Linked DNA regions of Xenopus tropicalis. The protein of the gene in region 2 interacts with the protein of the main gene of each other region in a pairwise test. Links are inferred from orthologs where the notes say so. Each region holds a gene or a part of one and is shown on either strand. Other genes may lie near its edges.

Region 1 (4,063 bases), on a different chromosome or scaffold from region 2:
TGGTATTTAAACAACTTAGAGTTAATGTGATTAATGGTGCAACATTTGCCCAGGTCTAGTAACCCATAGCAACCATATGAATCTTTCAAATAGCTGACCAATAAATGTTACCTGTTGGGTGGTTGTTATGGATTAATAGACCACTGACTTTGTGCCTTTTATTAGATTACCTGCTCGGCTTGCACCTACATAGCACACATGGGTCACCACTTGCTCTGAAATCAACCAATCACTATACGGCTGCTGCACTGCTAGGATATTACAACTGATACCCTCTAAGGCTGTCCTTGCAGGTACTGATAAATTGTTTCAAAACAATATTGGTGCATGAATGTTGGCCAGACAATGGCAACTAAGATCTTTTTATAATGGATACAATTCAGCCTGTCAATCAGAATTGTATGAAACGTATCTCCTAACGTACAATGTTAGCCAAAACAGCACCTCTTTCTAATCGGTGGTGGTTGTTGTGTTTATGGCCACTCATACAGTATCTGCCTAGGGGCCAAATGGCATGTGTATGGACACCCTATCACAGAAGAAACAACAGGAGCCAGGAAAGGCCCTGATGGTGGGTCACAGTTGAGAGAACTCTCCTACTGTAAATCCCTGGTAGGAAATCAAACAGGTTAAATTTAAATATGTGGACCAAAATTTGGTCAGGGGCCCTATGCCAATAACAAGATTACAGATATAGAAACCTCTACCCAACTTGCCTACAGGTAAAAAATGTAGCTTGTACCACAGTTGATATGGAACAACTCCTAGAACCTCCAAAAACAAGTGCTTAGAGCTTGAGTTAGAAACCCTATTGGCCTTCAGATGTAAATGAACTACAACTCCCAAAATGACCCCTGCAGCCTTTACCTTCCAGGGGGAATCTGGCATGTAAAGTCCAACAATAACATCTAGTGGCCATGGGTTGGCCAGGGCTCAGGGCTCAGGCCCCAGTCTGAGGGAAACAGTAAGAAAGCTTAAGAAATGTGACTCTGAATATATTGCTGAACTAGAGTTAGAGAGGGCAGAAGGTTGGTTAGCCACCATTTTAGGAAAAATGCTATGGTTTTCAGTTGTATTACCCCCACTGGGCATCCCTGATATGTATAGTAAAATATGTACAAAGTGTTATATACTTCCCCTTGATGGGCCCCAGTGTAAATTGTCTCTCTCTGTACATTATATTCTATAAATTCGCCAATCACCCCTTATTAGAGGCGGTGGCTAGTAGCCCCCTAGGAACACCAGCCAACAGCGCTATAACGCCCGGTGTATTAGAGCCAATGCCACAGCCGGGAGCCTGTATCCTTTATTGTAAGTCTCTATATCAGACACACACACGTCAGCCGAGCCCTTCCAGCGCCTTCTAGAAGCCTCCTGTGCCGCTGCCTCAGGCGAGCTCCCGGCTCTAGGGCTGTACCAGGCCGCACCGAGCAGCTGACTGGCTGGAATGGGAGGGGAATGAACGTGGCGGAGTAGAGACAACGGGAAACATAAATGAAAGGCGGGGGAGGGAAGCGGTGGTGTAACGGGCCAACCCTGCCGGGAAGTCACATGTCCGCAGCGGCTGGGGGCACAACATGGAGCCGGCAGGCTTACTAGCAAGGTCAAGGCAGTGGGCCTCCAGCCTGGATTCCCCGGGCTCGGCCGGCCCCGAGTTTTGCCAATAAGGGGGAACTGGAAGCAGCCATGCCGGGAAGCATTACCCGTAGCACTCGGGCTTCCCACTGGCAGCGAATGCCGGGTACCCACAACCCCAGGGCACAGAAGCATTTATAATAGGAATAAGCGTAGGAATCGCTGCTACTGTTGCCCCATGCAGGGCGCCCTCTAGCTGCTGGGTAGCGGCCCCAGGGCCCTTAGCACATTGTGCTGCCCAGTCAGCTGATCAATGGGAACAGCCGGAGTTAGGAATCCGTGGGCCCTGGGCACTGCTGCCATGCAGCCCGCCACCCTCCAGCTGCTGCTGAACTACAACTCCCAAGGGACTGCAGGGGATACATTCCTAATATACAGAGTAACAACAGCCAACTGTTACACAAGCACCTTCTCCCCCAGGGGCCCTGAGATACCGGGAGCCCAGTCCCTGCCCGCTCCCCTGTGTCCCCTCCCGGGTCCCCCTTACACAACCAGACACGATGGCTCCATACCAACCCCCAGCTAAATCACTGTATTCCCGGCGGCCCCCCGGGCGACGCTGTGATTGTGCCATCAGCCGGCTAGGGTGCAAGCCCCACCTAACCATTCAGCTCTGCTGCCCCCCGGTATACTGGGCACCCCCCATACATCCGGCAAATGTGCCCTTTACTGCCCCTTACCAACACTACCCTTTGCCCCATGGCTGCCCCCACCCCCGGGTCAGATGCCGACCTGTTTTCTTCTGGTGCGTTTCCTGGTGCTGTAGGGCGTGTTTCTGCTCATGTTTCAGCGGCTTGGGCTGGCATTTGGCGCTGCTGCCTTCGGCTCCATGCTGCTGGCTGTTTGTGTAATAGTAGTAATGGCTGTGAGAAGACGGAGAGTGGAGGTGGTGAGGATGGTGATGGTGGTAGTGGTGCTGCTGCTGTTGGCCAGGCTGCTCCTCCATTGAAAGTGAGTGGGCTCCCCCTGCGCTGGATGCAGAGCACAGAGCCCCTCGGTGGATGTGAGTGTGCAGATGCGCTGCCTCCCGCACTAGGGCAAGCCGGTTGGCTTAGGGACTTTCTAGAAACGATTGACTGTCTCTATCCAGCAATCAGGCCTCTCCAAGTGCCTCTTGTCGCCTCCCACATGCCCCTCAATGCCACCTCCCCTTCCTCCTTCCTGGCCGACACCCCTCCTTCCCTCCCTGCCTGCCGCTGCTGCCGCACAACTTGTCTCCTGCAACCTCACGGCAGGGCTGGGCTTCCAACGTCAGCACTATGGCTCTGGCACTGTGGCCCTAGCGCTATGGCTCTGGCACTATGACTCTGGCACTGTGGCCCTAGCGCTATGGCTCTGGCACTATGACTCTGGCACTGTGGCCCTAGCGCTACGGCTCTGGCACTATGGCTCTGGCACTGTGGCCCTAGCGCTATGGTCCTGGCGCTATGGCTCTGGCACTGTGGCCCTAGCGCTACAGTCCTGGCACTGTGGCCCTAGCGCTATGGTCCTGGCACTGTGACCCTAGCGCTATGGCTCTGGCACTGTGGCCCTAGCGCTACGGTCCTCACACTGTGACCTTAGCGCTATGGCTCTGGCACTGTGGCCCTAGCGCTATGGCTCTGGCACTGTGGCCCTAGCGCTACAGTCCTGGCACTATGGCTCTGGCACTGTGGCCTTAGCGCTACGGTCCTGGCACTGTGACCCTAGCGCTATGGCTCTGGCACTGTGGCCCTAGCGCTACGGTCCTCACACTGTGACCTTAGCGCTATGGCTCTGGCACTGTGGCCCTAGCGCTACAGTCCTGGCACTGTGACCCTAGCGCTATGGTCCTGGCGCAATGGCTCTGGCACTGTGGCCCTAGCGCTACGGTCCTGGCACTGTGACCCTAGCGCTACGGTCCTGGCACTGTGACCCTAGCACTACGGTCCTGGCACTGTGACCCTAGCGCTACGGTCCTGGCACTGTGACCCTAGCGCTGCGGTCCTGGCACTGTGACCCTAACGCTACGGTCCTGGCACTGTGACCCTAGCGCTACGGTCCTGACGCTATGGCTCTGGCACTGTGGCCCTAGCGCTATGGTCCTGACGCTGTGGCCCTAGCGATGTGTCCTGGGCACTGTGGCCCTAGGGCTGTGGCTCTGGCAGTGTGGCCCTAGCGCTATGGCTCTGGCAGTGTGGCCCTAGCGCTATGGCTCTCCCTGCTCCCGGGCAGCGGCGGCACCTTCATACAGCGCCTCTACAGTGGGAGCTTGCAGTCTGGGGTGCTCAGCCTACCCTAACATGGACCAATTGCAATGGGATATTATTAAACATTAGCTGTACTGAACAACACCACAGGGGCTGGAGCAGCCAGGCTGTGTGCAACAAAGGAATGACTAGGCATACAGGGGGTACATAGCTGTATTAAAGTGTTTCATTAGTTTCCTCATTGTTCTGTATCCTATACC
Region 2 (3,500 bases):
TTGCTTGGAGAGAGATATGAGCTGATCTAATTGTGCTAAACATCATCTAAATAATACTGTCCTAAATGGAATACATCCAGCCAAATAACATAAGGCTTCATCAAGAAGAGTACAGTCACAACCAGCAGTCCATCCTGTTCCACTCCTACATGAAAAATTCAGATATACACTAGACCGAATTCTGTTCAGAACTAAAGCTTTTACTGCTAAACAAAAAAAAAGTACTGTAAGATATAATTTAGGCTGTAATGTAATAATGTAAGGTTGGAAAAAGGTAATAATAAGCTATTCAATGCATTATGTGTTCTGGTACTTTAATAGGAACGTCACAAATTATTTTCTTGAATGAGGCGTGATTACTGTTTTTTCTCGAGGGCAGTATATAACAGTATCTAAAAAGAATGAGCATAGGTGTTATGTCCACTGCTGTAAAGGGTTGTAAAAAATAGTTATCAATCCTAATATTATGAACTTTAAAAAAATATGGTGCGTTTAGCGTACAGCTTGCTTTTATCTACCATCAGATCCATCAAGACATATTTATGAGAAGTTCACCAGAGGTTGCCAGCAGGAATCTATACCGCAGTCTTTTAAAGGGGCTGTATACCCTTATTTTCAGCATTAATTCAATGATAAGCCTTGGGTTGAACATACTCTTTGCCTTGTTTCACGTGAGAAATATGTATGTTTTTGTTATTTTTTTGAACTGAGCAGGGCGAAACCAGAAAATAAAAGTTGCATTCTGCTTGTTCTTATGAGCACAAAACAAATTAACTGTCCACTGAGAATGGTTTCATCTTGGATAATGCAATGGCACATATTAGCAGAGAAATACTTTATAAAGGTGTTTTAGTATGGGCTTTTTTACTGATATATTTTTAGAAAGATCTACTTTGTTCCAATGTATAGTACTAATCATTTTATTGTCATCTTTTTATTGCTAATCATGTAGTAGTTTGTGGTCCCCTACTACACTCTTAAAGGTAAAAATAGACATTTCTTAATAAAGTGTACATTGTCATTTCTCACAGAATTTGTGTATCAGACTGTCCCGCTGGTCACTACCTCGCAGACAAAAAAAGATGCAAAAAATGTTTCCTGCACTGTGAATCGTGTGTGGGGAGTCGCAGTGACCAATGCACAGCATGCAAACCTGGCTATTATTTAAATGAAGAAAGCAACAGCTGCATAATTAACTGCCCAGAAGGCTTCTACCTGAACGAAAGTAAGCTCATTTATAATGCATTCTTCTTTCACGGATGACAAATATTTCCACATGCAAAAACTGGCCATTTAAGTTTCAGAATTTGTTGAATTTGAGTAGGACAGAACAAACCATAGACTTTCAATGTTGAAGCTTCATTTAATACAGGTATAGGATCCATTATCCAGAAACCCGTTATCCAGAAAGCTCTGAATTACAGAAATCCTTTATCCCATAGACTCTATTTTAATCAAATAATTCAGATTTTTAAAATTGATTTCCTTTTTCTCTGCAATAATAAAACAGTACCTTGTATTTGATCCCAATTAAGATATAATTTATCCGTATTGGATGCAATACAATTCTCTTGGGTTTAATTAATATCTACCGTATATACTCGAGTATAAGCCGATCCGAATATAAGCCGAGGTACCTAATTTTACCTAAGAAAACTGGAAAAACGTATTGATTCGAGTATAAGCCTAGGGTGGGAAATGCAGCAGCTACTGCTAAGTTTCAATAATCAAAATAAATACCAATAAAATTTCATTAATTGAGGCATCAGTGGGGTATATGATTTTAAATATATATTTCAAAGCAAAACAGTAAACTAGCTCTGTAAGTGGAGAAGAGGGTCAACAAAAACAATAGGCACTGGAGGGTCTGGTTGCGGGTGGCCTAATTTGTACACAAAGGACAGAGGGTGCAAGTCTGGGGGGACCCATTGCACCCAACTCGAGTATAAGCCGAGGGTGACTTTTTCAGCGCATTTTGGGTGCTTAAAAACTAGGCTTATACTCGAGTATGATTTTTCAGTAGACTTAAGGTATGGAGATCCAAATTATGGAAAAAAACCCTTATCCGGAATACCCTTGGCCCCGAGCATTATGGATAATGGGTCTTATACCTGTAATAGGAATACCACCATCTTTAGTTTGGGCACAGAGACAAATAGAGATAAATATCATTTGTAAGATTTTAGCTGTGTTCACATTAGTAGGAAAGGGAAAATAAGGAGTCCTCAGGTGTCCTTCAATTCTAGTGGCAGCCGCTGACTCTTGACTTCTTGCCTACTTGATTTTTAAGCATGGTTTAGTGCACAGATGTGTTTAATAGATATCATTACTCCAAACGTGTACTTAAGGTTTACACTAACTCTGGTAGCTGGTACAGTTAATAAATAAGTGAGTTCAAACACAACTGCAGTGTAATATCTATGACATTTACCCAAAGTTAAATATAGTATGTGTGGAGCATTGTTTTTTTGTTTAATCCTGCAAAGTGCCTCTAGTAATTACTTTCAAATGCTAGCAGCTATGTTACTTCTGTATGTATGACACTGGAGCTGTTCCCAATAGCTGGCCACAAGCTAACAGCCCACTTGATATCTGTAGCTGGAATTGAAGAATGACCATTTTGTACTGATGGCATAATGGTTTTACTTATAAATTTTATTTGATTTTCAACAAAAGGTTGTAGCAAAAAATTTCCCTCACACTAGCTATGGTGTTTGTCACTGCACAGTGCACATGACATCAAAGTTGCAAAGGCTATTGCGTCAGTGCCAGACTGAAATAACTGCAATTGTAGTCACTCTACAGATCGATTGATTGTAACAAAGCCAGTGTGCACTATCCTGTTATCATAAAACCGTTTTCTGCCCATCTCTAAACTATGAGGGAAACTATGATCAGGCAGTATAATCCTACATGAGGTGCTACCTTGCATTAATAGTAGATAACTCACCTGTAGAAAAACACAGTTTCTCAGAAACTAGTTTCAGCCTTTCACTTTTTTTAAATGAAAATAATGTCACTTAGTGAGATATTTATTTAAAGGGGACCTGTCACCCTAAGAAAAAACTCCAAATTCTTTTCTATCATGCTTGTCAAGCAAAATAAACCTTATTTACACTATACAGATAGTATAAATCTTGTTGCCTTCAGTCTTGGAACTATTCAATCACAGCAAGCAGGCAGCTGCCATTTTGTGGACACTGTTAGTAAGGCAAACTTTGCATCACACCAAAATCTTGTTAAAGGACCAGATGCCCAGGCCCATGCACTGGCTACCTAATTAGGTGATGGGGAGGGAGTTGAAAAGTGTGAAGTGCAGTGACATCTAGGAAGTGCTGAATGGAAAGCTAAAGGTATTGTCTGCCCCGCCTCTATGCCTAAGGCATAGAGGGGGGGGTAGGCAATATATGATTGACAGCGGGGATTTTTAAATGTCTTTATAAAGGGTATGGATGTGTTATTTAAAAAAAGGAATTTGGGTTTCATGTTTAACTTGAAAA

What was found.
Region 1: the proteins of pcsk5 (region 2) and nufip2 interact in binary tests that used the Homo sapiens proteins (3 or more experiments, as listed by UniProt). The two-hybrid records come from large-scale screens. The link is inferred for Xenopus tropicalis from reciprocal best matches to the Homo sapiens genes PCSK5 and NUFIP2.

Annotation. Positions count from the first base shown.
Region 1 is NC_030678.2:33,013,272-33,017,334, reverse strand, and holds the start of nufip2 (nuclear fragile X mental retardation-interacting protein 2), read right to left. Parts: upstream 2,801-4,063; 5' UTR 2,582-2,800; coding exon 2,368-2,581; intron 1-2,367. UniProt on the Homo sapiens protein: Binds RNA.
Region 2 is NC_030677.2:131,823,291-131,826,790, forward strand, and holds part of pcsk5 (proprotein convertase subtilisin/kexin type 5), read left to right. Parts: intron 1-1,031; coding exon 1,032-1,225; intron 1,226-3,500. UniProt on the Homo sapiens protein: Serine endoprotease that processes various proproteins by cleavage at paired basic amino acids, recognizing the RXXX[KR]R consensus motif. Likely functions in the constitutive and regulated secretory pathways.